Linked DNA regions of Alligator mississippiensis. The protein of the gene in region 1 interacts with the protein of each later gene in a biochemical or structural test. Links are inferred from orthologs where the notes say so. Each region holds a gene or a part of one and is shown in the gene's direction. Other genes may lie near its edges.

The links.
Region 2: the proteins of BMPR1B (region 1) and BMP7 form a complex in vitro, tested with the Homo sapiens proteins (2 studies listed by BioGRID). The link is inferred for Alligator mississippiensis from reciprocal best matches to the Homo sapiens genes BMPR1B and BMP7.
Region 3: the proteins of BMPR1B (region 1) and BMP2 form a complex in vitro, tested with the Homo sapiens proteins (3 studies listed by BioGRID and IntAct, with this or other methods). The link is inferred for Alligator mississippiensis from reciprocal best matches to the Homo sapiens genes BMPR1B and BMP2.
Region 4: the proteins of BMPR1B (region 1) and GDF5 interact in a biophysical measurement, tested with the Homo sapiens proteins (3 studies listed by BioGRID and IntAct, with this or other methods). The link is inferred for Alligator mississippiensis from reciprocal best matches to the Homo sapiens genes BMPR1B and GDF5.

The regions. Positions count from the first base shown.
Region 1 is NC_081825.1:157,017,850-157,026,140, forward strand, and holds the start of BMPR1B (bone morphogenetic protein receptor type-1B), read left to right. Parts: upstream 1-4,774; 5' UTR 4,775-4,918; intron 4,919-4,928; exon of another isoform or gene 4,929-5,019; intron 5,020-5,244; exon of another isoform or gene 5,245-5,605; intron 5,606-8,291. UniProt on the Homo sapiens protein: On ligand binding, forms a receptor complex consisting of two type II and two type I transmembrane serine/threonine kinases.
Region 2 is NC_081832.1:9,428,320-9,436,041, forward strand, and holds the start of BMP7 (bone morphogenetic protein 7), read left to right. Parts: upstream 1-4,188; 5' UTR 4,189-4,494; coding exon 4,495-4,912; intron 4,913-7,722. UniProt on the Homo sapiens protein: Growth factor of the TGF-beta superfamily that plays important role in various biological processes, including embryogenesis, hematopoiesis, neurogenesis and skeletal morphogenesis.
Region 3 is NC_081824.1:225,998,841-226,006,343, reverse strand, and holds the start of BMP2 (bone morphogenetic protein 2), read left to right. Parts: upstream 1-4,174; 5' UTR 4,175-4,819; intron 4,820-5,241; 5' UTR 5,242-5,248; coding exon 5,249-5,567; intron 5,568-7,503. UniProt on the Homo sapiens protein: Growth factor of the TGF-beta superfamily that plays essential roles in many developmental processes, including cardiogenesis, neurogenesis, and osteogenesis. Induces cartilage and bone formation.
Region 4 is NC_081832.1:37,890,648-37,899,220, forward strand, and holds the start of GDF5 (growth/differentiation factor 5), read left to right. Parts: upstream 1-5,342; 5' UTR 5,343-5,616; coding exon 5,617-6,250; intron 6,251-8,573. UniProt on the Homo sapiens protein: Growth factor involved in bone and cartilage formation. During cartilage development regulates differentiation of chondrogenic tissue through two pathways.

The DNA.
Region 1 (8,291 bases):
AATCATCCACCTTAAAGGGTTTGCCATGGATCTGGAAATCTGTTGGCAGGGGAGAGGTGGCAGCAGCCACAGGGCCAGATGAAATGCTCCATGGGATGGATTTTTAGCCTGCAGGCTAGAGGTTGAACATCACTATTGTAGACAATGAAAAAGCTACTTTTTTATCCAAGGATGTTACAGTTGCTGCTATTATTGTCATGGAGACAGTCACTTATTTTTTATTTATATTTTTGGACTTGTATTTAAAGATTTCTGAACAGTAAACTTTCTTATGTGATGAAGTATTTATATGGCCCAATTCTGAGTGCTTTCAATTTTCACTGAAATCAACTGGAATTGAGTGTGCCAGAAATTTACAAGGAGAGGACCCTGGTGCATTAAAGCCTGAAGAAGATGTCATGGCTGCCTGCCGACTTCTCTGGCTGCTAGAAGTGGCTTGGGCAGCCAGCCAGCTGCTATACCCAGAAGAGAAGTGAGTCTCTGGACTTCAATTTGGGAAACCTTGACTTAAATAATTCTGGTTTACTATAGTATCACATATTGTTTTATCTGTCCATTTCACAGTCATTGTGCTAATTCAAAGGTCAAAGCATACAATCTACTCCCTCCTTTTCCCTCCCGCCTAATGAGAGTGTGTCAGGGTTTTATATTTTTTAAATAAAGTATTAACATGTTACACATATACTCAGGCAGGCATACAGATGTGCAACATATGGCATAATATGGAAACAAGAGTTACAAGATGGGAAGTTTGATCTTGGAACTGTGGAATTGTGCAGAAGATACTTCAGTAATTATGTCCTGAGCAATAACTTGCAGTCCCAAACATAGTCTATAAGCAAGAACTTTGATTTCATAGCCCCTTTTGATGTTAAAATATTTTAGTAAGACTTTTTAATTAGCTGATTTAATAGATGTTAAGTAAGGAGGTGATCAGTATTTTTACTAAACCAAAGAACATTTGACAAAGTGTGCATCATAACTGTCATTTCTCCAAGCAGGGAAGTTATACTAACTGGCTCGTGCCATGCATCTTTATTTTCTGCTCACTGTGAACTGACAGCTGGTCTAAACAGCAAAATGCACTGTTTCAGATAACTTTGCTATGGCAGTACTCCAAATCTGTTTTGCAGATAGAAGGCAGGGTAGGGTGGCTAAAGAACACATTTTGGTGTTCATTTCAGTATGGTTAAAAGAAGCAAATACAACTTGGTATTGACTGTTAAAGATGGGATGAAACCATGTTTTAGAATCATTAAGACAGCCATGAAACATGTTTTGTAACATTGTAATAGAGCATGGTCCTGCCCTACAAAAGAAAAACCAGAGCGTATTATGATGATTTTTTTTTAATTCACAGCAGAATTAAATTCTACTTTGCTAGCAAAGCAAGATAAAAGCAACATCCCCATTTCGGAGCTGAGAATAAATGAATAAATTGGCTGTACAGCCTTACTTCCTATTATGAAGTAAGTAAGGCTACAGAAGAACAAGCATATTTGTATGAAATGTGCAAGTCTCAGGGCCTTGGCAGATGTTATGCTTAGGATGTGATGAACCTGTTAATCAAGTCATAAATAGTAACCCTTCAGGGAATGAATAGCATGTTCAGGGAATTAATAGCATGACAAAACAAGAAACCCGCTACAAAAATGTTATACAAAATATGTTTCCATCCTACCTTAAATTGAAAGTGTAGCAGGGTAGCCCTGCTTTGCAACCTAAAGCTGGCTGCATGGTGGGGCCTTGTTAACTGCGATGTGGCATAGTACTCCATGGTCCTGCACCTTGTGAATTTAGACCAGGAGCCATCAGCCTGTTAGCTGGGTGGTACAGCCCTACACCGGTTTTCAGGGAGCCCATCCACTAAGCCAGCATGGTGCTTGCCTTGCTCAACTCCTGATAGGGGTTCAGATGCCATCACGCCATTATTTTAAAATCTTCCAGGCACCTCAAAACATTTACCTCTTCAGTTGAAAGAATGGGAAAAATACTATCATTAGCTTCTGCAAAAATGATTATTATGTTGACATTTGTAAGCATGGGCTAAAAAGGAAGAGATTCCACAATATTTTTGTCCCCTATGGAAGGTTTATTCATATGTGATTACTAAGGATCCTAGCTTTTTGTTCACCATAGAAAAATGCAGAATCCACCTCTTTCTGTAACTTACCGAAAAGCATGGAGGCATTCTACAGTGAGCAAGATGCAAATACTGCAGCAAAAATAAGAAAGCAGGAATGGTGGCACAATCCGTGGGATGTCGCTGCATTTTTAGTAGGTTGCAAAAAACCACAGATTTTTGTGGGGGGGGTTTAAACAGTTTTTTTTGCTTTTTTCTCATGGAAAACTAGGATCCCTGGTGATTACTGGAAACTCCTACACTAACATACACAGTATCTGAAGGAACTGAAGGAGGATCAGTGTGGACCTCAACACTCTGAGGTCATGGAGGTGAGAGCATGCTGAGAACTTTGCCATGAGTCTAGAACATGTTTGTGGTTTTGTCTGTTTACCCTAGCAGTGATAGAAGATTTAGATAATTGCTATCTGCTGCTGGTATAGCTGACCACCCCAAACAATGCCTTGTCAAATATACTTCTGCTTCATAATAACATTGCCAGTGTTAGCTGAGAATTTGAGTGTTTTTATAAGTGTTGTTATAATGAGGTCTGTTATAATTGGGAGTCAGTGAATGATGTCTGAAGTAATCCCCTCAGAAAAGACTAGTCAGAAAATCTAATGAGGGGAAAAAAAACCCTGTCATCCTCCTTTCTTATAGCTCAAATTGGTAATGAATAGTGTCTGTGGCTGCTGATTCATAGCAGTTCTGCAGGTCAAACCAATTGGTCTCCTTTCCTAAGGAGATTAGTCCTATATTTTCAGCGGATAAGCGTCATAAATGTTCACCAAAAAAAAAAAATTTAAAAAAAAGGTAAGGGGAGGGGCTTGCACAATTTCATTAGGACTATTATATTTAACCTATTTCAATGCAAAATCCTTGATTTTTACCTGCCAGTTGTCATGCAGACATCTAATTACCTATATAGCTCAAGGAGAACCAACTCTCACAGTGCTACATTGCAGTATATCGTTCTCCCTCTTCTCAGTCTCGAGTATTTCCCTTTATGTCAGTCTTTCCTCTTAGTTCCTTTCTGTATCTTCCTACATCTCTTTTTCCATTCCATGTCTATTCTCCCCCCCCCATCTTTTTTCTTCCTCTCTCTCTGTTTTCTCTTCTCTCTCTTCTCCCTGATTAAAGTCTCCCATGCTTTTTGCAGCATGGAAGAGTTTTTCATGTATTGCCTATAATGGCATATCTGCTCCACTCCTTTTGGTCATTGCCTTGCTTCCTTTGTGTCCAGTGTGTGGGCGGATGGGAAAACTGAGGAGTATGCCAATAGGAGTGAGTGAAGTACCTCCACTGATGTGGGGACTGCAGGTTTGTGAGAGATGATCTAGTTGTTTGGCTAGCAAAGTCAATGCCACATTTTAAAATTTGAGATGTATATGGGGTAATCATGAACACAGAATCACAAAAGTGAGTTGGAGAACACGAATTAGCTTTTTTTGCAAGATTTCCAGCTTTCCTTGCATTAATTTCAGCATTTCTGGTTCCAACTACAGTCCCGAAGCGCAAAGGTTCATGTAAAAGAGAAAACAAACAAATCAACTGTTTCAGGAACGTAGAGACAGGTTCAGCCCTGGAAATGGGTGACAGGTCAGGTGCAGGAGGTTCTTTTTGTTTTTCAAAACTGGTTTGCCCACTCATGTGTCTGTTTGTATGCGTGTGTGTTTCAGAAAGTAACAGCAATATTGAAAGAATACCACTTTGCATGTAATGATCACTTACTGGACCACAACACTTCCCTACTCAGTCACAAATGATGCGGGCGTTTGGCAGTGCTGCCATCAGCGTTCCCTGCTGCTGTCATGTCTCACTCATTGCACACACTATGGTTTTATTAAAAAAATTGCCATTACTTTTGGAAACACCCATGTGTATGCAGATCCCATAATATTGAGGCAGTTTGTTTCTCTCCTGCAAATGACAAAATATTTTGGCTAAATGGAAAGAAAAATCAAATGAGTCTCTGTTTTTCAGGAGGACTATAACAGCACATGTGACTTTAAAGGGAAATAAATTACTGTTGTTTGTTGCTGCTGCTGCTATTATTATTGCTCTTTGTAATCTCTCCCTGTCTGACATACCATTTCTGTTCTTGCTTTTGGCCTTCACTCCATTGCAGTGTCTCAAAGGCTAAATGGAACTTTTGACAGCATTAGTCATTTTCCTAAATGGGTAATAGAAAAAAATGGGATAGTAAAAAAAAAACTTAGAAGGCTTTGTCATGTTATACAGTCGCACTGTGGGTTCTTGGCCTCTAGGTGTTATTTCAGTCCAAATAACAGTAAGGCATTACAGCAGAGAGGAGGCAGTATATACTCTGACAGTGGGTGCACCTTACATACTATGCATTTAATTTAGTACTTCCTTAATAAAGTACTGACTAAATGCGCAGTACCTGAAGTTATGCACAGTAGCACCTGTGTGCTGTTATTTACTGATGCTTGCTGTGCATTAGTCTAATACGGCACAATAGGCTATGAGCATGGTTTTTTGCTGACATGCTAGCATGCAGTGTTTATTAGGCTAATGCACAGTAAGCATCTTGTAGAGGCAGTGCTGTGGTGCCAAACTTGGTTGCTCAGGGCAAAGCCCGCAGCAGCAGCAGCTCTTCCTGCGCGCAGATCCAGCGGGCACATGCCTGCCCCACCCCCAAGAGCCACTCTGCCTCCATCCCAGCCCGACTGGGCAGCGCCTGCTGGTGCCCCTTCGCTTTGGTCGCCCTGCTCATCGCCCCTCTTGCTGCGGCACTGTGCGGCTGCACCCAGGGGTTCTCAACCTTTGTAGACGGTAGGCACCCCCCAGCCCTAAGCTTGCACTCCTTTTTTGAACTGCAGGAAAGTAACAGAGCAGTTCCTCGGTTGCAAATCGCTCAGGAAGCCCGTAACAAGGTAGGCGGCTTTTTCACACCTTGGATTTAACTTGTGAATCACGTTTGCGCGCCTAACCGCACTCACCCCGGCAAGGACCCGAGTGCCGGAGCCCTGCTGCCCTGCACTTTGCAGCCCAGGCAGGCGGCTGACCTCCCGGGTTAGCGGGCTGGTGTTTGCAGCCCCCCCCCGTGCCGCTGCCGGGGGGTCTCGGCTCTTCCCCGGCGCAGGCGGCCCCTTTTGCTCCACCTCTCCTCGAGGCTCTCGGGCTGGGGGACCTGGGCTGAGGCTTTGCTGCGGCAGCTTGGGAATGGGTTGGCGGCGGCGCTGGCGGCTCGCTTGCTGAGCGGCAGCGGGGGCGAAGCGGGGGTTTGTTTTTCAGCATCCCCCTCTCTCCCCCACAGCGGACACGGGGCCGGGGAAGCTCATGGATGCGCGGCGAGTCGCCTGCGCGCAGGAGGCGGCGCTGGGCCCTGGCATGGCTTAGCGGCAGCAGCACTCAACTGGTGGAGCTGCTGGGCTGCGCTGGGAGGAGGTGAAGCCCGGGACTTTCTGGCTCCGGCTCAGTCGGCGGCAGGAGAAGAGAGGCGGCGCGGCCGGGCCGGGGGTGAGCGCGGGGCCGGGCCCGGGGCGCGCGTGCTGCGGCGGAAGCCGGGACGTTTCTCCGCACTGAGTGGGGGGGCGACGCGGCGGGTCCTGGCGGGGCTCTGCAGGGAGCGGGGCCGGGGCCCGTGCGGGGCACAGAGGAGCCGAGGGCTGGGATGGAGAGAGGGAGGGAGCCCCGGCGCGTCCCCACCCCGGGCACCGCCCCTGCCCGAACCCCCTCGCACCTGTCCTGGCCCCTGCGCGCGGGGTCGGCGGGGCCGGGGGCATGCGGCGCCTTGCAGCGAGCAACTCCCCTCATCTGCGATCAGGCCGGCACTTAGGGGTGAATTTGAGCCGCTTCCTGGACCCTCCCGCAGCCACCCTAAACTGCCCTTCTTCAAATCAAGCCCCGATGCATAGTGTATGCCTTAATTTTGCTCCCGACACAGGTGGACTCTAAGAGCCTACTTGCCCTTCATTATTTAGAAAGAAAGGGACCGTCTGGAATAACATCCCGTGCCCTTTGAGCCTCCACAGGCTTGCTCCCGTGCTGTTCCTGCTGCATTTTGCACCATTCAGTGTTTTCGGGGGTCACACTGTTGTCTGTTAATTTTGCTTTTAAAAAGTATCCTTCTCCTTCTTTAGAAACATTTGCTATAGAGATGTTGAGCGAGGGCACTGGATTGTAGCTGCTAGTGCTTTTCTTCAGGTTGATTGTAAAATTATTCAAAGCAACTGCTTGCTTTTTTTTTAGTCTGTCCATATAGTGGGGTTGTTTTGACAGGTAAAGTGCACTTAATTTTCTGAAAAGTAACTTTTCCACGACTTTAGACATGCTCTAGTACAAATAGTTCTTATAACTTTTTTTTAAGTGTAACTTAATCCTAGAAAATTTGATACAGTGTGTTATTTGTCTAATTTGATAAGCTGTTTAGACCTTTCTTTGTGGTCACCTGTTACATGATGATATCATCTCATTACTCATGTGTCAAAAGCTGTTGATGAATTCTTAATGACATTAAAATGTGCGTTTAAATCAAAATGTCATTTTGCCCATATCAGCCAGGAGAATTGTGACTTTATGGAAAAAGTAGTTTTTCTCTGTCTTTTTAGGCAGTGCTCTCCTGTTTGTTTACCAGTACACTTTCTCTTTCTCCTCCCTTCCTCCCTGCCTCTCACCTCATACACCCTCAGCCAGTCTACCAGTGGATTCATAGTTTACAATAGTAGATTTTGTTGAATTCCTGGTGGGGAAAAAGGCCTATTCATAGGTTGCAGCTAATCAACTTAAAAGCCTGATGAAATGGATCATAAATTAGTATAATCTTTTTGTCATTAGTATTGTATAATGCAGTTAGTGTTATGTGGTTTACTATAATTGTATTTAGAATTTATTATTAAAACCTTTGTAGTTGTTTTAAAACAAGGAATCCTGCTTTCTCCATTCTTTTAACTCCATTGACCTCAGTCAGTCATGCTCCTCCTGATTCTCATCTGTGGAAGCCATGGGCATATCAGGAATTTACGGTTTGACTTCTGGGTTGCTCCTTCCAACACTTGTAGTTCCCCGCTAGATGTGCTTGGAGTTCCTTGCGTGGGACAGTAAGTACATCATACAATGGACTGAGTGTTTTGGCTCGAAGCCAGGGAAGTGTATGCCCAACTTTAAGAACAGGAACAGATAAAGTTCAGTGTAATTGGTTTATTTGTATAATTAGTTAAGCATCTGCTTAGGTGTTGTACTGGGTTGGGGCCAGAATGCTCCTATTCCATATTCACTCAGCTGAGAGAAATTTAGGCCTTGGCTTGCAAGTTGCTACATTTCTACATGTGAGTAGTTACTTTGAGTTCAGAGGGGGCTATTTACAAGCAACTTGCTATAAAGTATGCATGCGATGTTTGCATAAGTTGCATGCAAAGTAGTCACCAGATTTGAGCATGTTTCATACCTGGCTGCGAGTGTGAGAATCTTGTTTTACCACATGTCCATAAAATACGCCTCCTATATTTGTGACTGTGGAAAGAGCATCTGAAATGTAGTTTTCTTTGGCTATAATATGGACTGCTGACAGAAATGAATGATAGTGATCTAATAGTAACACATTTAGAGCTGAGTCTGAAACACATTGACCTCCTAATACAGTAGCTCCTTTTTATATAGATAAGCTACTATGTTTGTATTGTCTGAAATAACTTAAATATTTTGGCCCTGATAAGCAAAACTCTGACACAACTGTCTGGAAGCCATTGCGTAGTTAAGCCAGTCTAGATTTCACATGTGCAACCTTATTTCTCTCCTAGCGTGAGTTCCAAAGCACTCTTGGCCCTGACGAGAAGCACTGTACTCTTTCTACTAGATAGCTCTCTGGTTGTATGAGGAGAAATATACCAAAAGATGAAAGAGTTTAAGATTTTTACAAAGGAATTAGGTGCCCCGCTCTCAATATCCTCTCATATCTCCCTTATACATACAAGTCTTGTATCCACTGTCTTAGTTCTCCTGAACTCAGGTGAGATGCAATAGGTTTACGTACTGGAGCTGTTGTAAACTATGTTCTATTTTTTTTTAAATAAGAAAACGCTGTTAATGGAAACAAGACTTTTTGAAAAATAATAAACACTGGGGCATGTTTACTTCTGATCTTTCATGCATTTCTGTTTGAAATTACATTAGTTCATTAAGTTATTTAGAAATGTCTATGGGATAA
Region 2 (7,722 bases), on another chromosome or scaffold:
TTAGATGGCATGCAGATGCTGATCATGCAATCATTACTGAAAAGATTCCCCAGATGCATGCATTTTAGTGCAGCACTTGGAGAGACAAAGGAAGGATACTCTGAGGGATTGGTTGTATACATCAGATAGGCGTGAAAAGAGAAAGTATGAAAGCCACAAAGGTAACAATTAGGAGGAAGAAGAATAAATAGCTTTAACGTTATTCAGAATAAAAGAAGGAAGACAGGATGCTTTGGGTCCAATCTTTAAGTTAAGCATGAAACCATTTGTGTAACCTGAACATACATTTACTTCATTTAGGTTAATCTTGCATACTGATGACCTGAATGAGCCACTGGTATGCATCTGGCAATTTGGATGCATGACCATGACAACAATGCATACAAATTAGGCACATGCAATTGCACACAAATTGTGTGTACTTTATTTGTTTTAGAAGTGGGCCCTTTATTTCTAAACTAGTCACTTCCATCCAGCAACAGTGCATGTATTTCTACATAAACACAAATAATAGCTAATATACAAATCATACACATGCAAAATACTAAGATACCCAAAAGATGAAAATAGAAGCACTCAGTTATTTTTTTAAAGAAATCATCTGAAACAGCCACAGCCAACATCCAGGTATTGCTTCATCATCAGCACTCAACTCTCCTTCTCTGACAGGGAGCAGGAGGAGGAGGAGGAGGAGGAGCAGCGGATGGCAGTTAAGAGGAAAAACTGGTTTCTTAATTGACCTGGGAGAGAAGAGAAAGAGGGTGATGACATGGGGTTGCCAATATTTTCAGCAATTTGTCTACAGTACTTGGGAGCTGACCCTGAGAGCACCAATAAATGAGGTCAAGCAGTATGCAAAATATGATGGAAGAAACATTAGAATCAGAAATTATGGCATAGACAATATCCTCTAATTGCAGCATGTATGTGTAAAATCCATGTTCGCAGCTAAATGTTGACCCCATCTCACTCCATCATGCTATATTGCACACAGTGGGACATACTGGGACATACTCTTGGTTGCACCCAACAGCCTCACTGAAGTCAACATGTAATTGAGAAATCAATTCTCTAAGACAGTGGTTTTCAACCTGTGTTCTGCGGACCCCTGGGGGTCTGCAGACTACATCTAAGGGGTCCAGGAAAGATGACTATGATCAATCAGAAATGTGTGAATACCCACACTTACCATACCGCACTGCCATTAAAATTTTTTTAGGGATCTGAAAATGAAAAAAGGTTGAAAACTACTGCTCTATGAGTGGTTTTTCAAGAGTGGTTTTTTGCTGTTCTCAACCCTCACTCACAAAGAATGCCTCTGGCACCTGGTATATAACAGTGGCAAACTCACTCTTAGGCATATCTGTCATGTATCTATTTCAGCAGATTGTATTTAGCAGTCTGTCTCAACAATCACAAGCCAGACATTTTTGTAGAACAGCATGTGGAGAAATTACCTGCAGCAGCTTCAAAGAAAAAGTTTGGTTCTCTGATACTTATAATAATCCCCTTTCATAAAAAGTTTATTGCTTATGCCAGATCCCACAATATCCTCTCTCTACTTGATTCTGAGCCTGTCAAACCAGGTATGTTGGTCCACAGTTTAGGCCAGGAAGTAAAGAATAAAGCCATACAAAATAGCAATGAAAAAGATTATTAAAAGATTGGATCCATTTCCATGCAAGTGTGAGAGACGGCCCTGTCACTCACTACACCTGGGGAAAGGACAATTATTAAGCTGATACACAATACACTGCTTGATCTTAACCCCCACAAGGCAACTTAACCAACTGAAGCTAGGGGGAAGTTAAGTAGGGAATGAAGAATCATAACTAGAACCAGAAGAACCTGCCAAACCAAGAAGTCTCAAAATTTGTCTCCCATAAAAAATGACACAATCAATCCCAGAAATCAGCTACCTGAAGATTTTTCCAGAGCCCAAATCTTCCAGTTCAGAAGAACTGAGTATCTTCCCTTTCCCCCAAACAAGCAGTGCTTTTTAAGGGGATGTTGTTAACTTGAAAATTGCCCTATATATGGTTTCTAGAAATATACCTGCTCTTAAGGCTCCTTGTCCATTTCTATAATCTTCATCTATTGTATAGTATTTTAATTTCAATATGTTTTTCTCCCTGGTTTGTTGGGTGAAAGGCCTGCACATAAGGCAACAGCAGGAGGAACGGACAGAGGGGAGAGACTAGGCCCAATCACTGTCAAATGCACCAAGGAAACAAAACACCCTTTTGTGTTGAAATCCATGCCAGTTATATGTTTTCAAACACGAAGGCCGCAATTCTTAGAAATGTTTTGGCATTACCACTTAGGAACAAATCCAGGGTTTGTACAAATGATGATACACAAAATAAGCTGGTATTTTATTATTGTATGCAGTTGCAATCACAGCTAATTCATGTGAAGGGACTCTAGAAGGCCCCTTCTGGATATCATGGTGGTATATCTGTATTACCACTATCTTAGACACTTCTATGGATAGCATCACCATAGTACCTGGGTGACTCACAATACTTAAATATAGGTAGCCTTACCAGTCTATGAGCCAGGGAAATACTAGTATTCCCATTTTAGGACAGAGATGGGAAGCAGAGAAAGGCTAAATGATAGGCTAATGTCACATAAGGGATTGGTGGCAGAGCTGGGAATTGAACAAGGCTCTTCCAACACACACACCTGAAGCCTTAAATCATGGCTTCTGTTTGTATTGGGAGCCAGCAAGAGATGACGGGGCAAACCACCTGTCACCTCCAGTCCTTCTCCTGCCCCCCAGGCAGGCTGGCAGTGCTTCTCTAGAGCTATAAAAGATTCTTGCCACCCCTTTGAAAAGCAGCAGAAGAATGAGGAAGGGCCTGGCAGCTAGGCTCCTAACGGACTCTCCCCCTTTCTCAATGTGGTCTAAAAATGGACCACTCCAGTTCTGTCTCTCACTTTCTCCTCTGTTAAAAAGCAAAGAGTGCCTCCTTCACCCAGCTCTTATAACAAGCTACTCACTGTTTGCACAACACTTTTAGGATACACTGGTCTGTATAAATGCGGAGTGTTCTTTTATTGTAGCCAGCCTGAGCCTTTATTGGGAAGGGCAGCATATAAATTGGCATTGTATAAACTGAATAAATAAATAAAAATGAATAACTATTCATTTCTGGGTGCAGAAGGCAGGTGGGACCAGGTGTTCAGACTTCTGGGCATGGCAAGGCTCATCAGGAAGCATCAAAGACTACGAGCATGTCAAGGCAGTGGAAACAACCTCTTTTCCCTCCTCTCCTTTCACTCTTCCCGCCAGGGCTGAATCAAAAAATCAACATATAGTCTGAATTATTTCCGGTCCTCTCCTCTCAAGAGATTACTGCTGAATGCTGTCATTTATTTCTCCTTTGTGTTATGGTAGAGCTGGCAGGGCTCAGCCAGGATTGGGCTCTATTCTTCCAGACATTGTAGGGACACTTAGTAAGAGACAGCCCCTGCTCCAAAGGGCTGATAACCCCATCCTGGACAAGATGCAACAAGTGAGTGTAGCTAACAATGGAAGGAAAAGAGAGGGGAGGAGATGAGAGGGAGACAGACTGTGACAAACACTAGCTGTGCGCACAAGCTGATGGGTCCGGGGCCATGTCACTGGTATCCTGTATTGTTTTAAACTTTCACCTATTAACCCATAACCTCCTGGCCTTCTTTAACACTTCTCCACTCACATCCCCCCCGACCGCCTGTGGGTACAAGCGACCTTGGGCTACCTTTCCTACTGGTATCATTACATTTTAAATGCATGCCTGTATTGGTCTTTTGCCTTCTGGGCAGGCTCTGCCCCACTGCACTGCTTAGTTTATTTTGTTTTATATATGCATACCCCCCCTCCCCTCCACTAAACAGCCCTCCCCCAGCACTGCCTTCCCCTTAATCATGTTTACATTAATTTAACTACTTGGGAATGGCTCACCCTTTCTTCTAAGCCAGAAGCCTCCATAAACATCCTGAAAAGCAACCTGATCAGATGTTCCTCCTCTAGGCAGTAACACGGATTTTCTTCTCTAAGCAGTTTGGAGAGAGAGAGCGAGCAGAGAGCAAGCGAGGGAGGGTGTTGAGTTGTGCTGCCTGCTCCTCCCACCAGATACAACCTCCTGCTGCCTGTCTGTAAAGCAGCATTTCAAACACTTGTGAGAAGTGAAGAGGGAGAGAGAGAGAGAGAGAGAAAGAAATCAGACCCTAAAGAAAGAGGGGAAAGGGAGTGGAAAGCACCACTCAGGAGTGATCCTTGCTATTTATCTCATGGATTTTACAAACTAAACCACCTCCCCCCCCCAGAGGCAAACTTTTATCATGAGTTTGCTGAAGCCTGAGCTGCAGGGCTGCCCTCTAGCCAAGTGATCAGAGCTTTGCGGGGCAGGCACTTTCCCCCTCTCCAGCTGTCTTTCATGGTAAAGTATTTATTCCTGCTCAGCAGCCCCGTGGGTCTCTTCATCTCCCCTCCGTGCAGGAGAGATGCGCGCCGCGTGGCCCGGGCAGCCTGCCTCCCGGCTGCTGGTCCTCTCGTGCTTGTGGCTGCGCTGCATCCTGGCGGACTTCACCTTGGACAATGAGGTGCACTCCAGCTTCATCCACCGGCGGCTGCGGAGCCAGGAGCGCCGGGAGATGCAGCGGGAGATCCTCTCCATCCTGGGCTTGCCGCACCGGCCCCGGCCCCATCTGCACGGCAAGCAGAACTCAGCCCCCATGTTCATGCTGGATCTCTACAATGCCATGTCGGTGGAGGAGGCGGCCGGGGCGGCGGGGGAGGAGGGAGAGGGCTTCTCCTACCCTTACAAGCCCATCTTCAGCACCCAGGGCCCCCCCCTGGCCAGCCTGCAGGACAGCAACTTCCTCACCGAGGCAGACATGGTCATGAGCTTCGTGAACCTGGGTGAGTGTCCGAGCCCAGCCCGGGGCAGCCTGCACAGGTCTGGGACAGCCTGGGGCAAAGGATCTGAGTTTGGGGCAAGTGTCTGGAGTGGGATGGGGTGGAAGGAAGCTGGTTTCTCTGCTGGCAAAAGCAAAGAGATGGACCCAATGGCACCACAGCCTCTGGTGGGGACAGGAGAGAATAGGCTGTGGTGGGGCAGGTAGCAACAAGGGGCGCATATGGCCCTGCTGGCAGGTGGCTTTGGGCAGGGCAGGGGAAGTAAGTGGCTCTAGATCCAGCCTTTGTTGCAGTGTGAATTTAAGTGTCAGGAGGTTTGGAAATCAGCTGGAAAGGGCTCACTCAGAACCTATGTCCTATGAGTAGGACTTTTACTGTGCCCCATCAGATCTCATCTGGCCTGCTGCCATGCTCCCTCCTTCTTCTTCCCTCTTGCTCCTCCACACGGAATGAGTTACCTTGCAGAATCCACGAGGGAGTGGACCTGTACAGGACCTGTTAGTGGCTCTGTCTGGCTTCTTGCACCACCAAGAAAGACGTGAAGCCAACAAAAGACCCTGGATTGCAACACAGTTCAAAGCCCTGAGCTTGGAATCATGTGGATGATCACAATGCCACCAGAGCCGCTTAAGTGGACAGACCCTAGTGGAGTGGCCAAGGCAGCCTTAACTAGATTGAGAGGGCCAGGCTGCTGGAGTCTGTTTTCTTAATGGCTTGAGAAGGATTCCAGGGTAAATCCTTATTTACTCCTGCAGCTCTTTCTAGTGACCCCAGTTGAGGCAAGCTAACGTGCTTCCTTTCACACACACATGTGGATGGGTTTATGCAAATGACATGAAAGTTGCCACGCTTTGTATGCAGCTCACTGAGCTGCTTTAATTGGATGCCGCAGTTTGCTGATATCCTCCTGATCTCTATTCGTTGGCTATAGATTGCACACCCTTTGGGACTTACTCAGCCGGATTTGAGTAAAATGCTGTCAGGACAAGCATTCTATTTTAAATATATAATTATAGGTCCCAGTTCACTGTATCTAGTTTTAGCCCTCATCACGTGCGGCTCTGAAACCACCAGATGTACAGATTGGGTGCCTGCAAATTCAAGTCAAAATCTGAATGATAATTCCAGAGCAGGGTTGACTCAAACTTTGCCTAAATGAGGAGCCGTTTGCAAGGAGTGAGAAGGATGCACCTGAGATGCATGAAATGGTACAGATGGCAGATGCCCTCATCTTAAATCCTGTAATAAATCTGCCATCACCTAGAACTTCCTGGTTATCACTTGGAGCTTCATGGTGGCAACAGGCATTGTGCAATAGTTGTCCTTCCCCTAGCACTATGGGCTAAAGCAGAAGTATCAGTAGCTGTATAGGCTTTATGACACACACATATGTGAATAGCTGTGATCATATACAGTAGCCAACCTCAGTCCAATCCTGAAGTGATACTTGGAGATGGAGCACTGCATGCTGAGATCTCAAGTTTCAGTGGAATTGCATCTCCATATTAAATACCATAAGCCTCACTGGTAGGACTCTACAATTGGCCCAAAGGCTGTAGTCTTTTCAGACTGCTAATATAGTCCATTTGGAAGTATAATGCTTGTCTAATAGTTTTTCAGTATGTAAGCCAATTAGCATTGATACATTTTAAAATCAATATTTGTGCAGCCAGGAGTACCACTGGTGGGCAAATATTTGACTTTAGAGATAAGAGAAATGGTGTTAATATTGTGCTGTGCTGTACCTCAGTGTACATATAATGTATGGCCAGAGTGCGGGGACATACAGAAAACAAAGGAAATAAACAAAGTTGGCACTTTTATTTTCTACTGTAAAAGTAGATTCTTTTTTTGAAAGGGCTGAATATTTAATAGAGTCAACTCCAGATAGTGAGATTTACCTCCAGGTGAACAATTATATCCTTTGGTTTTTGTGAAGTTAGTTTCGAGGTAGATCTCATAAATGCAGCTCTGGGGACCCAGTTCCAAGCTCAATAATGTGGGGAAAAGCCATCTTTGAAGGCCCCTGGAGTTTTATGTAAAAGACATTATGGTTTAGCCTCTAAAGTAACTTATTTTGCACAAACATGTTAGCTCAGTGTAATCATAGTGAAATTAGTCAATACATTTGTAATTGAGATTTGTTTTCTTGGATGCATCTATCCCATGAATCTAAAAGAACATATCAATAAAGATTATTATATGTAAATTACACAGGTTACAGTATAACATTAAAATTATGAACTGCATAAAAATGTCGGCTTTTGTAATCAGTTTAAAGAGTATGAAAATGTTCTTGCCAAAGTATTTCATTATTATTTAGTTTAATTTCTGCCAGCATGGTCAGTCATTAGTCAAAGCGTAGGCTAGATCCAGTGGTTTTATATAGGCAGGTGGAATTATTACCAACAAGGCACTTTTCAGAGGTTTATCTGTACTGTTTTGTTCCCCTGTCAACAGTGCATGCCAGGACGAGTTTAAAAAGGACATAGATCCATAATAGCTTTCTTCATCACTGTGCACACCTTTCATCCCATTATAGTCATAGTTCTTTCATCTTTTTAGGACAAAGACTTACTTGTTTATGGACTTTTTAATGAATTAGATTAGCTACTAGCTCACATATATAGCTAAGCACAACACCTGCTTTAGTATGTACAGTTTTCTATGACATTCAGGGAAAATTAGAAGATCTATTGTAGGACTGATATTTTTTTGGAGGTTTTCTACAATGATCCCATTTAAACCAGAACTGAATTGCTAAATGCAGTCTGTATTAAACTGTGTCCTGGTTTTGTAAGAGATACTTTGCA
Region 3 (7,503 bases), on another chromosome or scaffold:
GATACAAGCATGAGGGCAGTGTCAGTCCTAAAGCAGTCACCACCCAAAGAAGGCAGGCAACAGGCAGGAAAAAAAAAGACGTATTAATATCTCCACTATACAGAGAATCAAGGCGTAGAGAGATGAAGTGACTTGCCCATGGTCACAGAGGGAGTCTGTGGTAGAGGTAGGAACTGAAGCTGGAACTCCTGAGCCTCAGTGAATTCACCCTATATCATTTTGGTCTAATAAAAGATATCACATCTACTCAAAGAACCTTCCCTCCCTATATCATAGATCTTTTCTATAGGTCTGTAGTATATATCACCTTGGTGTAGGAATAACCCTGCATCAGTGCAAAGGGTTGAACTACATGACCCTTGAAGGGCCTTCCAACCCTAAGATTCTATGATCTTGGTGAAAGTCTATTCACCTGGCCACAGGTTAGGTCCAAGCACAATAAGGGGAGCTCCTTCAAAGCTTCAGGTCTGTTCAGTATGAACTGACATGGCAAAGACATCCAGAGCATCATACTTCAACACCCCATGGAAGGTGAAGCCCTGAGAGTAGAGCTGAGTTACCTGGGCTCTCCGCAGGTAAATGGGCACTCTGCTCTTGCTGCCTTATATGGGGCAGCCCCAAAAGCAAGGCTAATGAGAAGAGGCTTTTGAAAAGGGATTCCCAGGTCCAGGCAGGAGTGCTGACACATTTCCACCACTGGAGGGCAGCCAGATCTAAAAAACATACAGGAATCAGCACAGCAAGCCTAGACTTCCCAGGCTGCCCCCAGAAAGCCAAATGCATTCAAATACTGCTCTCTGAAGCAGCCTCTTGGGGACCTGAACACGTTTCCTACAAAGGGAGAAAACAACTACTACTTTTGAGATTGGCAGGTTCTGAGAGGCAAACTTTTAGGCAGAGGGAATTCCTCTTCTCTCCTGTCCTGTCTCTCCAGCTATCAGGAGGAGTGGGGAAGGTTCTTTCACCCTGAGCCTGATGTTTCTGCCAGGCCTCGGGGCCCAGTTTCCTGGGGACAGAAAACATTGGGTTATAAAGATGGGTGCATTCCACAGGGCTGTCTTTGCTACAGAGATGAACATCCAGGTGCCCCTTTGGAGGTGCATCTTTGGAGCTGTGGCTACTGAAAGAAAAAGGCATACTGAACACCTACTCCAGAATGATATTTGAGGTGGATGAAATCTGTTCCATACCAATGCAGGGGCTACCTGCCTTGCTCCTTTCTGATATGCGGAGGGGAACTCAGGCCAGCTTTCCTTGGTATCACAGTGGTAGCCGGTTTTGTTTTTTCACTGAATTCTCTTCCCATTCAACAGGTAGAAAAAGGAAAAAAAATAGGGAGAGAAACCCAGCTTTCTGTTAACCCATGCAGAATTCAAATCCCAGCTGATCTTTGCTAGAGACATGAGGAGGTATACGTTGAGCCAGGGGTTTTAGCTATAGACAGCGGGCACTGAAATCAGCCTCCCTCTTGCTGTTTCTAAACGCTCGAAGTCATTGGACCAGATCAGTAGGTAACCCATATAGGCTGGCTGAGAATCTGTCCTCTTGCAGCATTCTCTTGGCATGGTTTGTGCTCATCTTCCCAAATATCATATGCCTGGGTTTTCACATGTATGTGTGTGTATAGATACGTATATACATATATACAGATACACATACATATAGACACACATACATACTCACGTATTACATGCATACATATACATGTATATAAACACACACATATATACGTACACATCCACACATATCATCTTTTGCAACCATCGGTCTTGAGAGACTGTGGAGATTGCGCCTTTGGTGGGTTACTGGATACTGCCACAGCTTCCTGAGTGGCTGAGTCTGATGCGCAACAAGCAGAACCTCCAGCAAGTTGCACATACAAATCAGTTGAGCTTGCACTGGCATGCTGAGTACTGTTTTCTCTTGCCCGCCTCTGACGCCTCTTCCCTAGCTCATCATTGGGACATATACGTATATATACATACATATATATGCATATATATATAGATATGCATGCATATACATACATACACATACATATATACTTATACCCATATATACATACATGCATATATAAACACACACACACATAAACACATCTAAATACACATGTATATAAACACACACACATATGCATATATATATATAACTTACGTATATAAACACACATACCCACACATACATCCATGCCTATATATATAACATACACACATAACACACACATTCACACACATAAACATGCACATACACACATAACACACACATGCATATATGTAAAAACAAACACACTATAAATACACACAAATACACATACATGCAGATGTGTAAACCACACACAAACACAGATGCATATATAAAACACACACACACACACACACACACACACACACACAGCTACTACTACTACTACCACCTTATTTTAACACTCTGACTCTCCCAATACATTATTTGACCTTCACACCTTAAAAGTCAGCAAACACTGAAATCCCACTGCACGAAGCTTAATCCAATTTGTTTTAAGCCCCGCCTGCCCCTCCATTTATTTCGCTCTTCCCTGACAGACAGATGCTATAATGGCTCATTGTTCACCTTGGCTCTCAGCTGACTTTCCTCTACCTCGCCACTTGTAGGCGCTCAGGTTCTGGCTAACCCAGTCCTCCCCGCTCCCACAGAGATGCCTGCGGCTAAACCTGGGAACCCCGGGCAGGATGGGCCCCCGGCTCCTCTGCCCTATGAGTCTCTTCTGGGACGTGTCCCCGAGGTGACAGCTTCTAAGGCGCAGCCGGAAGATCCTACTTTGCACCTTTAGGGACTAGCCGGGGCTGCAGTGACCATTGAGCAATGCCCCTCCCACCCATTAACCATTGAGGGATCCCCCCTTCAAGGGTGGATTAACCCTTTAGTGGGCCCTAGGCAAATTCATAGGCCCCTACTTAATCCTGTAGATTTATATTCCTTTTGTTTCACTCAATAATTAGAATATGTAAAATAAGTACAACTGGCCCCCCTTCTTCACTGAGGGCCTTAGGCATGTGCCTAGCTTGCTATGCCTTAAGCTAGCCCTGCCCCACCCCTCACATAGCGCCACCTTTGCCGCAGCAAGGATCAGCTCTGGGTTGATAACACCAGAGGTCAGGTTCAAGCCCCGATTCGGAGCCTGTCTCCTCCAGGGACCAGGTTGAAACTACCAAGATATGGTTGTAGAGGGTTGTGGGTGTTGCTAACGCAGCAAAATATATTAGATGACTACAAAAATGGAAATGAAAGGACTGGGAGGGCACTAGCTTGGACCCTCTACTTAGCAAGAATACCATGGAGGATTCAAGCTAGTGCCCCCCCCCCCCCCAATCTACATTCCCTGGGTAGGCAAGTTTCTGGGGTAAATGCTCCATGGAATTCTTGGTAGTGCCCAGCATGGAGTACCCTGGGTATCCACATCCCCTGGGCAGATAAGACTTTTGGGGTAAATGCTTCCTGGTTTCTTGCCAGTGAGGATCCAAGGTAGTGCCCAGCTTGTAGCACACTCCCCCCATCCACATCCCCAGGGTAGACAAGATTTTGGGGGTAAATGCTCCATGATATTTTAGCTAGTGAGGATCCAAGCAAAAGCACCCTGGGTATCCATATTCCCTGGACAGATAAGATTTTTGGGGTAAATGCTCCCTGGTATTCTTGGTAGTGCCCGGCTTGGAGCCCCCTGGGTATCCACATCCCCTGGGTAGACAAGATTTTGGGGGGTAAATGCTCCCTGGTATTCTTGTCAGTGAGGATCCAAGCTAGTGCCTGGTTTGGAGCCCACCCCTTCCCGGGGTATCCATCCCCCGGTAGACACGGTTCTCTGGGTAAACGCGATCTCTTTTATTAGCCCAACCCAATCGTTGGGGAAAAAAATAAAACTCTGCTTTGCAAGCTCAGGGGCAGCAACACCCTTCCACCCACACATGCCCCGGGGGAGCGCGGCCACCAGAGAGGCTCCCCGGCCGCAGCCTAACGGGCCGGTGCCCAGCTCGGCCGGCGGGGAGCAGAAGCGCAGGGGCAGGGAGGGCGGGAAGGAGGGCGGGCGGGAGGCAGGAGGAGGAGGCGGCGGCGGCGGTGCTGCAATCGCTGGCTCTCCCGCAGCCGCCTGTGATTGGCGCGGGCCCGCAAGCCCCCGGGGTCGTGACATCAGCAGCGCCACAAAAAGCCAAGGAGGCACCTCCGGCGCTTGGCAGAGGCAGGGGCAGCAGGAGCCGGGCCGGGCCGGGGCGGGCGCACAGGCACACGCAGCGAGGGGCCGCGGCGGCGCACGAGACGGGCTCCGCGCCGCGGGCAGCCAGGAGGAGCATCTGCCCGCAGGCTGCCACACCCCCGCGGCAGGAGGAAGCGGCGGCCACGGCAGCAGCCACTTGTTGATCGCGGCTTTCGAGAGGAGGAAACCCCAGCCCTGCCCCTGGCCGGCCCCCGGCGGGGAAGCAGTCCCCCGCGAGCCGGGCATGTCTCCGAGGCGGGCTGCGCCGGCGGGCCGGGGGCAGCGGCTGCAGCGGCGGGAGGCGCCGGGGATGCGGGGCTCAGCCGCAGCCTCCCGCTCAGCATGAGTGCCGGCCGCGGCCATGGGCTGCCGCGGAGGACGTAGGAGCCGCCCGGCAGGAGCAGCGCGGGCCAGCGGCCCCGGCGCGGCGCGGGCGGAGGGCAGCCCGCCGGCTTGGCTCCGCGCCTAGGAGGACTCGCGCACACAGACCCGGCGAGGCCACCCCGGGGCGCCGCACATGTGCCGCTCGCGGACATGCCCCCGAGTGCCGCCGCCGCCGCAGCTGCCTAGGCCGTCGGCGGGCTCCTAAAGGTAGGGCTGGGCGCACCTGCTGGGGCCCGTCTGCCCCTGCGCGCTCCGGCCGCGGCCGGCCCCCCGCAATCCGGACTCGCTTCGGATCAGCCCCAGCGCTGCTGCTGCTGCTGCTGCTGTGGGCAGGGGGTGTCTGCCCCCGGGGGGGCACTTTGGTGCGGGATCGGGCCCGGGAGGGGTTGGGGGGGAAGGTGCATGGAGGGGGTGGGATCGGGGCAGGGGAAGTGGGTGCGTGGGGGGGGGGAGGTCTTTAGGATGGGATTGGGATTGGGATCGGGCCCGGGGAGGCGGGTGCATGTTTGGTGCGGGATGGAGAGGGGGTGGGCGGGGGGTCTTAGGTGCGGGATCGGGCCCGGGGGGGGATCTGGCACCTGCTGCCGCGCCCTGCTGACCCCCCTTTCCCCCTCGTGTGTGCCTTGCAGGGCGACCATGGTGGCCGCAACCCGGTCGCTGCTGGCGCTGCTGCTGTGCCAGGTGGCGCTGGGCGGCTCGGCCGGGCTGATGCCGGAGGTGGGCCGGCGGCGGGCGGGCCGGGCGGCCCCGCAGCCGTCGGAGGACGTGCTGAGCGAGTTCGAGCTGCGCCTGCTGCACATGTTCGGGCTGAAGCGGCGGCCGAGCCCTAGCCGCGGCGCCGTCGTGCCGCCCTACATGCGGGAGCTGTACCGCCTGCACGCCGGCCACCAGCTGGGCGCCCGGCTCGAGCGCGCCGCCAGCCGCGCCAACACGGTGCGCAGCTTCCACCACGACGGTGAGCGGAGCGGAGCGGCCGCGGGGGCAGCTTCAGGGGGCTCCGTGTGTGTGTGTGTGTGGGGGGGGGTGGTGGTGTTTGGGAGTTGTAAAGTGTAGGGGGGTTTGGGGGCTGTGGGAGAGAGTGTGTGTGTAGAGGAGACAGTAGGGTGTGTGTGTATGTAGGGATTGTGAGAGGGACAGTGTGTGTAGGGGGCTGTAGGGTGTGTATGTTTGTGGTTAGGGGTGTCAGTGTGTGTGTAGGGTGTAGAGGGGCTTGGGCATGTGTGTATGGGGTGTGTGTGGAAGACTAGGGAGACTAATGCATGTTTGTAGGTGAGGGAGTGTGTGTGTGGGGGGGGCTGTAGTGGGTGTGAGGGAGTGCTTGTGTGTACAGGGTGTGTAGGGGATTTGAGGATCTGTCTAGGGTGTGGGTAAGGGGTTTGGGTAGGAGGGTGTGGGTGTGTGTGTAGGGGCTGTGAGGAAGAGTGTGTACATAGGTGTCAGAGAGAGCATGTGTGTAGGGGTGTCAGGGAGTGTGTTCAGGGTCTGTAGGGTGTGCATGTGTAGACAGGGGTGTGAAAGGGAGTGTTTGTTGGTTGTGTGCATAGGGGGATTAAGGGGTGTGAGAGGGAATGTGTGTGTAGGGGGGTCCCTTTTTTTTGGTATGGATGTGATCAGCTTTGGAGGCTTAAAAAACAGGGGGGGGGGGGGAGGAGTATCAGGGACAAAGTCTTTCCAAGGAGTTAATAAGCTCGGCTGCTAATAAAATAGGTTGTGTTGAACTTCCCAGCAGTGCTTGTAGTCAGGTGTGTGTGTGTGTGTGTGTGTGTTTTTAAAAGCCCTGATTAAACGACTCTGAATTTTATGTTCTGATGCACTTGGGGCTCAAATCTTTTTTTATTTTTTTTTCTCCTCCCCCTGCTTTTTCTTACCCCTGCCCCCTCCACTTTCCCTCCCTTTTTCATCTGATGTGAGACCTGTCGATTTTTCTTATTTTTTTTTTTTTAATTTTCTAACAGATTGGGCCCAAATTAAGAATTCCCACAGATTAGTTTTCTTTTTTTATTTATAAGGCTAAATACCAGAAAGTCTCCCTTGCTTACTTACAGTTGATCTGTAAGAGGGTCCTTGAGGAAAGGTTTCTAATCCCCGTGAGAGATCAATTCCACAATTGATTGTATTGTTTCCATAATGACTTTCTTGTCCTGAGTTCTGAAACAAGGCTAGATTTAACGCAGCTCTAAGGGGCAAAACTGGTCTGATAAAAGCCTTGTCACAGCCCTCCCCTGTCTCACATGTTCACCTGAGCCGATCAATACTGTCATTTTAAGTAAGATGCTGAGCGCATGTTATAAAGAAGTGTGAAACTGCATACACCCAAACTCTTTTTTTGTCTTGAAATTAGATAATCTACACACACACACACACAAACACGTGTGTGTAAAGTCACTTACTGCTTTAAAAATCTCAAGTAGCTGTTTTCTAATCTCACCCAAATGCTGCTATCTTGTGGAGAGCTGTATCCACCTCTCTTCTTGTTGAAACCTTTTAAAAGTTCAATAGGGTTTAACTGCATTAGGATAGTATAATAACTCCAGCCTTACGCTTCTGTGACAAACTAGTCACCATGAATGGTCTAATGTATCCATTTTACTTTGTTACCAATTTACTAAATACATGCAGAGGAGATTTGTCTTTTCTTAGGTGCATTTTTTTTTTTTTATTTGCCTTTCGGTACTCATTGTTTTATTAAATATGTGTGTCCATGGACTAACTAGATTCTGGGAGTGGGGGGTTCAGGCAGGGGGAGGAAATAACTAAACTGGTGTCATGGCAGATAGCCCAGGTAGACCTCTAGAATGAGTGGTTTGCATGTTACTCTTGCTCTTAACGCAAAGAAATATTCCAGAATTTGTAAATAACTTCTAGCTATTAGTCTTCAGTGGTGGTATGCT
Region 4 (8,573 bases), on another chromosome or scaffold:
CCTGTAGCAAAAAGAGGAGGAAAGGGAGGGGGGATTCCTTCTGGATCCCATACAACTTGCAGCAAAACGTAGAAGCACAGGAAATCCTAAACTCCCTCCATTCTGCTCTGTAGGCTGGGGGAGCAAGCATAACTCCATATATCACACCCTCTACCTGAACAGCCAGAACTCTCTTTTCTGTGTCCCTGCCATGAATTTATCCTAGCTCCTTTAATCTTCTTTCATAATTAGCTGGTTGTGGAGCTCCGCTTAATTCTCCTGTTGCTCATCAAGAGTCTCTCTGTGGCAGCTGTCACTTCTCCCACCAAGAAATTTTCAGCTCTGTGGGCAGTTCCGCAAGCCAGATAACATAGCTCTGCACTTTAGATGCAGCCCATGGGTCTCTCTATGAGGCCAAATATTTGGTGGTGGGGTGAGCTGTGGCAATTAACACTGTCACGGATCATCCTGCTGCTAAATTTTCAGCTGTTTGGGGAGCCCTTCGAACCAGGTGACACAGCTCTGTGCCTCAGATCCAACCTGTGGGCCATATCTTTGACACCCCTGACATGCAGAAATAGTCTTACACTTACAAGAATCTAAGAAGAACACAGAAGAAAATGAGTTACAATGATTTTGCTAAAATGAACACCTTAGCCCTCTCTGGGAATATGTTACTACAGAAGAAGTTTTTAAAACTCCCAAGTGCTCATTAGAACAACAGAGCTGGATATGGAGATCAAGCCAGCAAGGTTACAAGTGCCCCTGCTCTCACAGAGTGGGTGGGACCTTGTTATTACAGACTGGTGGGGAAACTATAGAAGGACCAAAAAGAGGGCCTTTGACATCAGGAGTCTGCCCCCCGGGGAACTTCACTCTGACATTATCAATAGGACCATCTTGATCTCTTCATCAAAGAACAGCATTCTCTGTGTACAGATAAAAACTGTAACCATAATTGTTGCTGGCACAGCTGTTCATCTGAAATGGCTGCCTCACTCAAAAATCTTTCAGAAAGGTGAGGTCCACCACCAGGAAATGTTTGCCAATTGGGAGTTCCTGCTATTCACCCTGAGCACAGAGGGCATAGATATGTGGCTCAACAATGTCCATATCCTCTGAATGTTGGGTCACAGGGAGGTGAAAGCTTGGATTGGTGGGGAGGGGGTGCCAGGGGTCAGGTAGGGGTCATGAGCCACCAATTCTTGATCTTTTTCTCTGCTAGCCCATTCTTCCCCATGTGTTCACAGATATTTCAGGGGGAGCATAATTTATATTGCCATTATGCCTGCCCTCAGCCATAACAAATATTCACCCAGTCCTGACTCCTGCTGTCATTTTAAGCTGCTGGTCTATACCACTTGCCTTAAAGAGACTGACACCACATCTTTCTTGGATCAAGTATTTTTTTACAGGCTTAATTTTTCATTCAAGCAACAAAACAATTCAGCCATAAGTGGGCCACATTGCCAGCCACATACCTGAGAAGCTGCCTGCTCTAGGGCCTTCCACAAAAGCCATTTTACTCCCAGTAAATATTGCTAACCCAAGAACATTTTTAGTGACAATTTGCAAACTTTTTACTGACGAAACTTTTTTACTGTCACGTTTTCACTGACATATTTTGTGTAATGTAAATGTAACTCTTCTACTACGCCCTACCTTGCTTACAAAACTTCAGTTAGAAGAGCTGGGTTCAAATTTAGGGTTTAACACCAACCTTAGTAAAAAAAAAAATAAAGTTTGGTTGTCAGTGAAAAGTTTCTAGTAAAAAAAAATCTTGGGTTGGCAACACTGCTTGATTAAACCAATGGTTTATACCATGCTACCTCCACCCACACACCCTGCATAATGCTGCTTCCCCCAGCCTACCCCTCCCCCCCCATCTTATCCCTGGTGGTCCTGCTTTCCCTGTGCTGGCACAGGCCCACAATGAAGCCTACCTGCAACCCAGTAGCATTACAGGATGAGACACAGTGGCAGCAGCATGTGGCTAGAGGTGGGGGGCCGGCGGTGTGATCTACACAACCCTGACAACTGGCTTCCTGCAGGGTGCTATGCTACCACTCAGATAACAGGAGGCATTGCTCTACCCTGTCAGTCTTTCAGTCAAGCTCTCGCTGTCCAGCTTCTTTCCAAGGGGGAGCTTTAGTCAAGCAGACTTGTGGTAGCTTTGTGTTTTTAGAGATGGCTCATATTTATTTATAGACTTGAGAGGCAGGCATTTATAGCCTGACTTTTTTTACAGACAGCTGGCAACCCTGGCTCCAGCATTCCTCCTCAACTCCTCCCAGTTCAGCCAATGGAGGCAGTCTCAGCAAGGATGTAGCTGATCACAGACAGATGAGGCTACACCCAACTCTCCTTAAGTGGCCTGCCACCCTTTGACAGACTAACACCCTCCCCACCAATATTCAGGGCCACTACCTCACTACTCAAGAACCAGTGTCTATTTGTGTCTGTTCCCTCTAAACATTTTGCAGTCCCCTGAAGGCAATGTTGCCTTTCTTTCTGGCTAATTCTCAGCCCAGTCTTTCTGGATGCTCTGTAGTTTAAACATAGGATGGTAGCTATTCTAGGCCAGGTTTCAGCGAGAGTCTCTTCCAGATCCAAGTTTTGAGGGTGTTGGTTCTGAGGACAGCAGACCCTGTTAGACATTTAGGCTGCTACCTTCCGTTTCCTAGATTGCTGATGTTTTAGTTCAAGTATTAGCAGACACTGGATGCATTACACTGTCCATCTGCTCTTGTGACCTGGAATCCCTGCATGTTGGCTCTTCATATTGGAGATTTGGAAGGGCAGACTTATTTGGGTCCTAGTTCACTAGAAAAAGGCTATACTTCAGTTCCTGTAGGTTCAGCAATGAATATTGTTCCAGTCTTTCATTCAGAGAGTTTACATAGGGGTCTTCAGACAAGTAGGGTGATGGATTGTAGGGAGGGGGCTGAAGGGATACTTTTTTTAGTGTTGTAAAAGCTGATGTGCTGACATTTCTGACATGTTCTTAATCAAACAGGGCAGCTGCTGGTAGTGTAAAACGGACCTGGGAGCATGATTCTGGAGCTGCAGGCCACAGAACAAAGGTCAAAGGTAGCCATTAAGGGGCACAATGCTTAGAGACCAAAGCATTAGTCAAAGTTCAGTTAGACCAAATGCCTAGGAGCCAATGTCTAGCCAATGGTCCATAGATGACAGTGTGCCAGAAGTCAGGAATCTCATCCAGGAAGCAGTAAGACACATGGTCTGGGGATTGTAGGGGGACAACTATGTAGTGACAGTAGAATCTCCAAGCTAGTCAAATGAGACTCTCTTCAGAAGGCACTTATAAGCCCTTTTGTTCCTTTGCCCCTAGATATTTTGCTCTTTTTCTCTCTGTTGAGTAGGTAAAACATTCGCTGCCAGATGAAAGTAGGTGAGGAGTGGGGAGTGACTGGATTCATTTAGTATTTTGCCATTTTTTGGCAATATTAATTTTCTGTTGTGAATTGTGTGCTATATCCAAGAACCAAGGGAGCCCTTTCAAATTAATTAAATGTGTAACTATATAAATATTGTCTTTACATTGTCTTTACTTTTCTTTAGAAAACTAGCATTTCTGCTTTGATATACAGAGCTTCCATTTGAGCTGCCAGAGGTCTATGCTTCTGTTCAAGTGAACTCCAATCCAGATCCTTTTACTAACTTGTGAGACTATGTTCCTGGTGAAACCAATAATAAAACTGTAATTGGGAGTAAAATTAAGCCAATGCCAAGTGGTTTGGAAAAGCTACCTTCAATATGACAATGCAAGTCACTGAACCTTTTCCTGAGGCTCAGATTCATAATCTGTGCAGATAATGGTACTTCCATTTGCAAAGTGCTCTGAGACCCTCAGTTTGAAAGAGCTAATATTGGCAGGACATTATTTGCTAGGGTATTTCAGGATTTCTGTTCCTGGTCCTAGTTCCAAGCTGAAAGTACAGGTATGTGTGAAAAATAAAACAAAAATATCCAAAAATGATGGCACTTCTTAGCCTCAGGAACAGTTGAAATTAAGTTTTTTGAGACTGAGTTCAGCTTCAGTCTGGGAAGGGTGAGGGGTCCAATCGATTTTTAATTGATCCGAGCCTGTCCCTGCATTCCGAGGGTTCAGTTAGAAAAATAAGAGTTAATTTTCTGTAGCTTACGGGAGAGATTTGTTTGCTCTATCTTGTTTGCATTATCTTTTATATTTAATTGCCTGTGGACTTTAACATGTAGGATAATTTTCATTTGTAAGCATCAACAAATACATCACATGCTATTTCTGTGGGGTTGTATTGTGTACATGAATCTTTAAAACCTTTAAAGCGATGGTTTTAAACCTTTAAAACTTTTTAAATAAAAAGAACACATTTATATTAAATCATTTAAAATATGAAATTTGGATTTTAGAATCTGGTCTCTCTGGCTCCCTCAGTGCTTTAGCTTGACAGAACTCTAGTTCTCCTGCAGGGGACACTGCTGCTTAACACTGGAAGAATTTGTTTGATAGGTTCTGTTTCAGGAAATATATTACACAGCTGGGGCAAGCTAAAGAGGCACGGGGATGCCGTCTGTGAGACAAAAGCAAAAGGAAACATTCCCTCTGTATTTAATGGAGCTTCAGTTTATTTGTTCAAATATTTGCACCAAACTGGAATTAGCTTTACTTTTGAACAGCATAGCAATTAATGCCCCTAAAACTAGTATGAATGTATGTGTTGTATATGTATGAAATTAAACTTTATCCTTGTTTTAAAAATTACCTTTGTTGGCAAAGTCCTTCCATCGCCAAAAGGCAAAGTGAAGTCACTATTCCAATTCTTAGGAAAAGATTCCAACTCAGAATGGTTTTAAACATCTCTTATGAATCATAAGATGTTTTAATGTATTTATTCCAAGGGACTCTGTAAAAGATTCATACTGTTGATCTTACAATTTGTCCTGTTTGAATATGAAGTTCATCTAAGGCTAAGGTAGAGGTCGTATTGCCACTAAATGGCATCCTCTGGAGTGTTGATCCTACAGAGTTGTTTCACATGAGGCAAGGTATGACTCATGCTAATGGAAAGGGTAAAGAAGATTTTTTAAAGAAATATATTGCAGTTAAATTAGTTTAGACAGCATGACATCAGAGAGTAATTAAATAGGTTTTTGTTAGAATTCCGTTTCCAATTCCTGAGTTCAGGTTTGTAAAAGATTTCTGAGCACCTGCAGGTTTCTGTGTGAAATATTTTCACTGGAAAGGATTCAAAACGTAAAAAAAAAACTTTTAGCACAGAGGCAGCATTACGCCATTCTTCCTTTTTGGAAAAAAAGCCCCTTAGATTTAAACAAGACTCCTTCAAGTTTTCAGTCAGTTTTACAGAAGAAAAGGGGAGGTACACTTTCACTTTTCAAGAACAAGTTCTTTTTAGTTGCTAACTGAAGCCAGGGGAGAAACATACCTGACTAAATGTGCATTTCCACTATGGGACTGGATACAGATATTAGAGAAACAGATTTAAAGTGTTTTAAACTTAAAAGACAGCTATTTCTCCTGACAGTTTTTTTAAATTTTTTTCATGTTTTCTTCTGCCAAACTGGAGGAACCTTTTCTGATTTTTTCTTTAGTGGCATTCAAAGGAAGACCAGAGGATGAAAATCTTGCACTTTCTCACTTTATTGCTTTGGCATTTGACTTGGTTATATCTGGATTTAGTTTCTGTAGTGTTGAGTAATTCTGAAGCAGGTCAGAGTAATCCTGGATCCAAATTAGGATTGCTAAAAGCAGAAGGAAAAGAAAGGAATCCCTTATCAAGGGCAGGTACCTTTAGGACTGGAACCCATGGATACAGTGCTGGGACATCAAAGGCTAGAAGTAAAAGCAATACTGTTCAAGCTGGAGCTCTCCTGTCTAAGAAGGATGAACCAAAGAAGATTCTCTCTAGAGCAGGGACTACAGACACAAAGGTAGGACATTCCCCTAACAGACCATCTGGAGTAAGGACAGTGACTCCAAAGATTCAGAATGTTGGCAGCAAGGCCTCACTTAAAAAAACTGGCACCCGCAATACTGATGCCAGTTCTTACAAAACCAAGAAGACTAAAGAGCCTCTAACACAAAGGGAATCTAAAGAGACTTTCAGACACCCCCCTATCACACCTCATGAATACATGCTTTCCCTGTACAGGACTCTCTCAGATGCAGAGAGAAAAGATGTTAATGGAAGTGTAAAATTGGAGGCTGGACTCGCCAATACAATAACAAGCTTTATAGATAAAGGACAAGGTAAGAAAGAAGCTAAGGTGTAAGTATATGTGTATTAATGAAAGAAATGCATAAGTGTTCACACAGCTGTGTGTATGCATTTGTATATCCATAAAGTTACTTACAAAATAATGGTAATGTATTAAAGGCAAATAGCTTGACTGATTTAAATGTAATCAGATTTACATAACTCAGAGGCAATTTTGTCTTTTCAGTTTAAAATCGTATAAAATTCACCTGGAAACAGATGTGGATGTTTGTATACTTATCAACCAATGCATTTAGGGGCAGATTTTCAAAGGTTTTAGGTGTCTAAATAGGCGGATAAGTGCTTCTGAAAATCTCACTACTGTTTACCTACTAGGTACCTGACTTCCAATGGGACTAATAAATCTTGGTACTTCTGAAAATCCAGCAAGGTTCTTATCTTTAACTTTAAGTGTATAAATACTTTAGAGATCCATCCCTTAAGCTTTTACATAATTAAATTACAATAGTTGATAAACTTGCATTTTATTATATATTAAACAGTTCCACAGGCATAAGATGTGCTAAAGACAGTGATGATTTCTTTGCTTTTCAGTGTATCAAAAAAAGACTTTCTATATAAAAACAGCAGCCTTATATGTAATAAGGGGAGAGCTGAGGGTATGTCTAAACTGCAGTCACAAAAGTACTTAAAGTAGTATAAAGACACCTGAGCTAGCATGGCTCCTGTTAGCAACCTAACTAAAGAAATTCAGAACCAGCTAATTAGGCTAAATAGCTTCTGTGACTTCAGCATAGCCATTACCTGAGACTCTGTGGCACAATTCTTCTGTTTGTGGAGAATGAGCTAGTATAGTGCATGCACATATCCCACCAAGAAAAAATGAAGTTCCATTCCTCTTCTTATTGGTCAGGTAAGCACTCACAGGGGTCAGATGTTAACCTTACTCAAGTTGGGCAATGAGCCTAATGCTGTTTTCAGTGAAATCAGCATGAATTTTCTCATGAACTGGATGGGACCTCTAGACCACTGCCCCAGCAGTGCCAAGGTGGTCACTGATCCACTTTAGAAGGGAAACTCAAATGGGATTTAATTACAAACAGTCTGGTTGCTGTGGAGGAGTAGATGCTAATAACATACTAATACCCTTGTTTAGTCATGTTTCTTATTACTAGGGATCCTAGGTTTCTCTGATAAAAATCATAAATTCTCTGGTAAAAAACCCAAAATCCGTGATTAAAATGAAAGGACCCTCACACGCCTTCCCCCCCCACCCCCTTTGGCCCTGCTTAAGCCCCTCACTCCCTCCCCTCTGGCCCTGCTGGAGGGGGCCCCCAGCTGCCAGGGCTACGGGGCCAGAGACCCAAGTCCACAGCCCCCTGCCTCCAGGAGGAGGTGGCACCTGCTGCAGCAGAGCAGAGCACAGAACCCAAGTTATGTGTAGGCTGCTACAGGCTTGGGTGGGAGTGGGGTCCAGCTCCCCACTGCTGTGTGCTCCTGGGGGGGGGGGGGCAGAGGGGACCCATGCCCCCACATCTGTGTGCGGGGTGGAGGCAGGCACAGGCTCCCCACCCTGCTGCCCTCCCCTGGGGTCTCTGCATCCCAGTGGGTGCGACCCAGCTCTGCAGGGCAGCGTGGGGCCGTGCAGGAAAGCTGCTTGCAGCTGTGAGCTCTGCGCAGCCCTAGTGAGGCATCCCCTGCGTGCGTGGCAGCAGTGAGGGCACAACCCCATGCCACCATCCACACAGGGGACACCTTGCTAGGGCTCACAACTGCAAGTAGCTTTCCTGCTCTTCCCTGCAGCACCAGGTTGCAGCCACCAGGCTGTGGAGGCCCCAGGGGAGGGCAGCAGGGTAGGAGCCCAAGCCTACAGTGGGCAGCCTGTGCCCCTATCCTGCGCACAGATCTGGGGGGCATGGGTTCCCCCTGCCCCCTGGGAGTGTGCACAGCAGCGGGGAGTTAGTCCCACCCCGTGCCCACCAGACGAGTCACCCACGGCTCTGTTCCACTCCCCCCCCAGGACCCTGCAGCTGCACATTGCGGCCCCAGGTCCCAAGCCCCATGTGCTGCCCATCTGGGCAGCAGCCCCAGCCCTGCCCAACTCCCTCCTTATGGGGGCCTCAATCCCACCTGCTCCCCACTTACTTGAGGGAGCTGTTTTCCAGGCTGCCTGGTGGCCATGTGTGTATACATGCACATGGTGCCCCCTGCCTGACTGCCCTCCTCCTACTTTCCCCCAGCTCCTTGAAAGCTGGAACTCTGCCAGCCTGCAGAGAGCTCTTTGCAAAACTGCAAAATCCTTGACTTTCTCCAGTAAAATGATAAATCTGTGGTTTCCTCTAGTAAAGGGGAAAA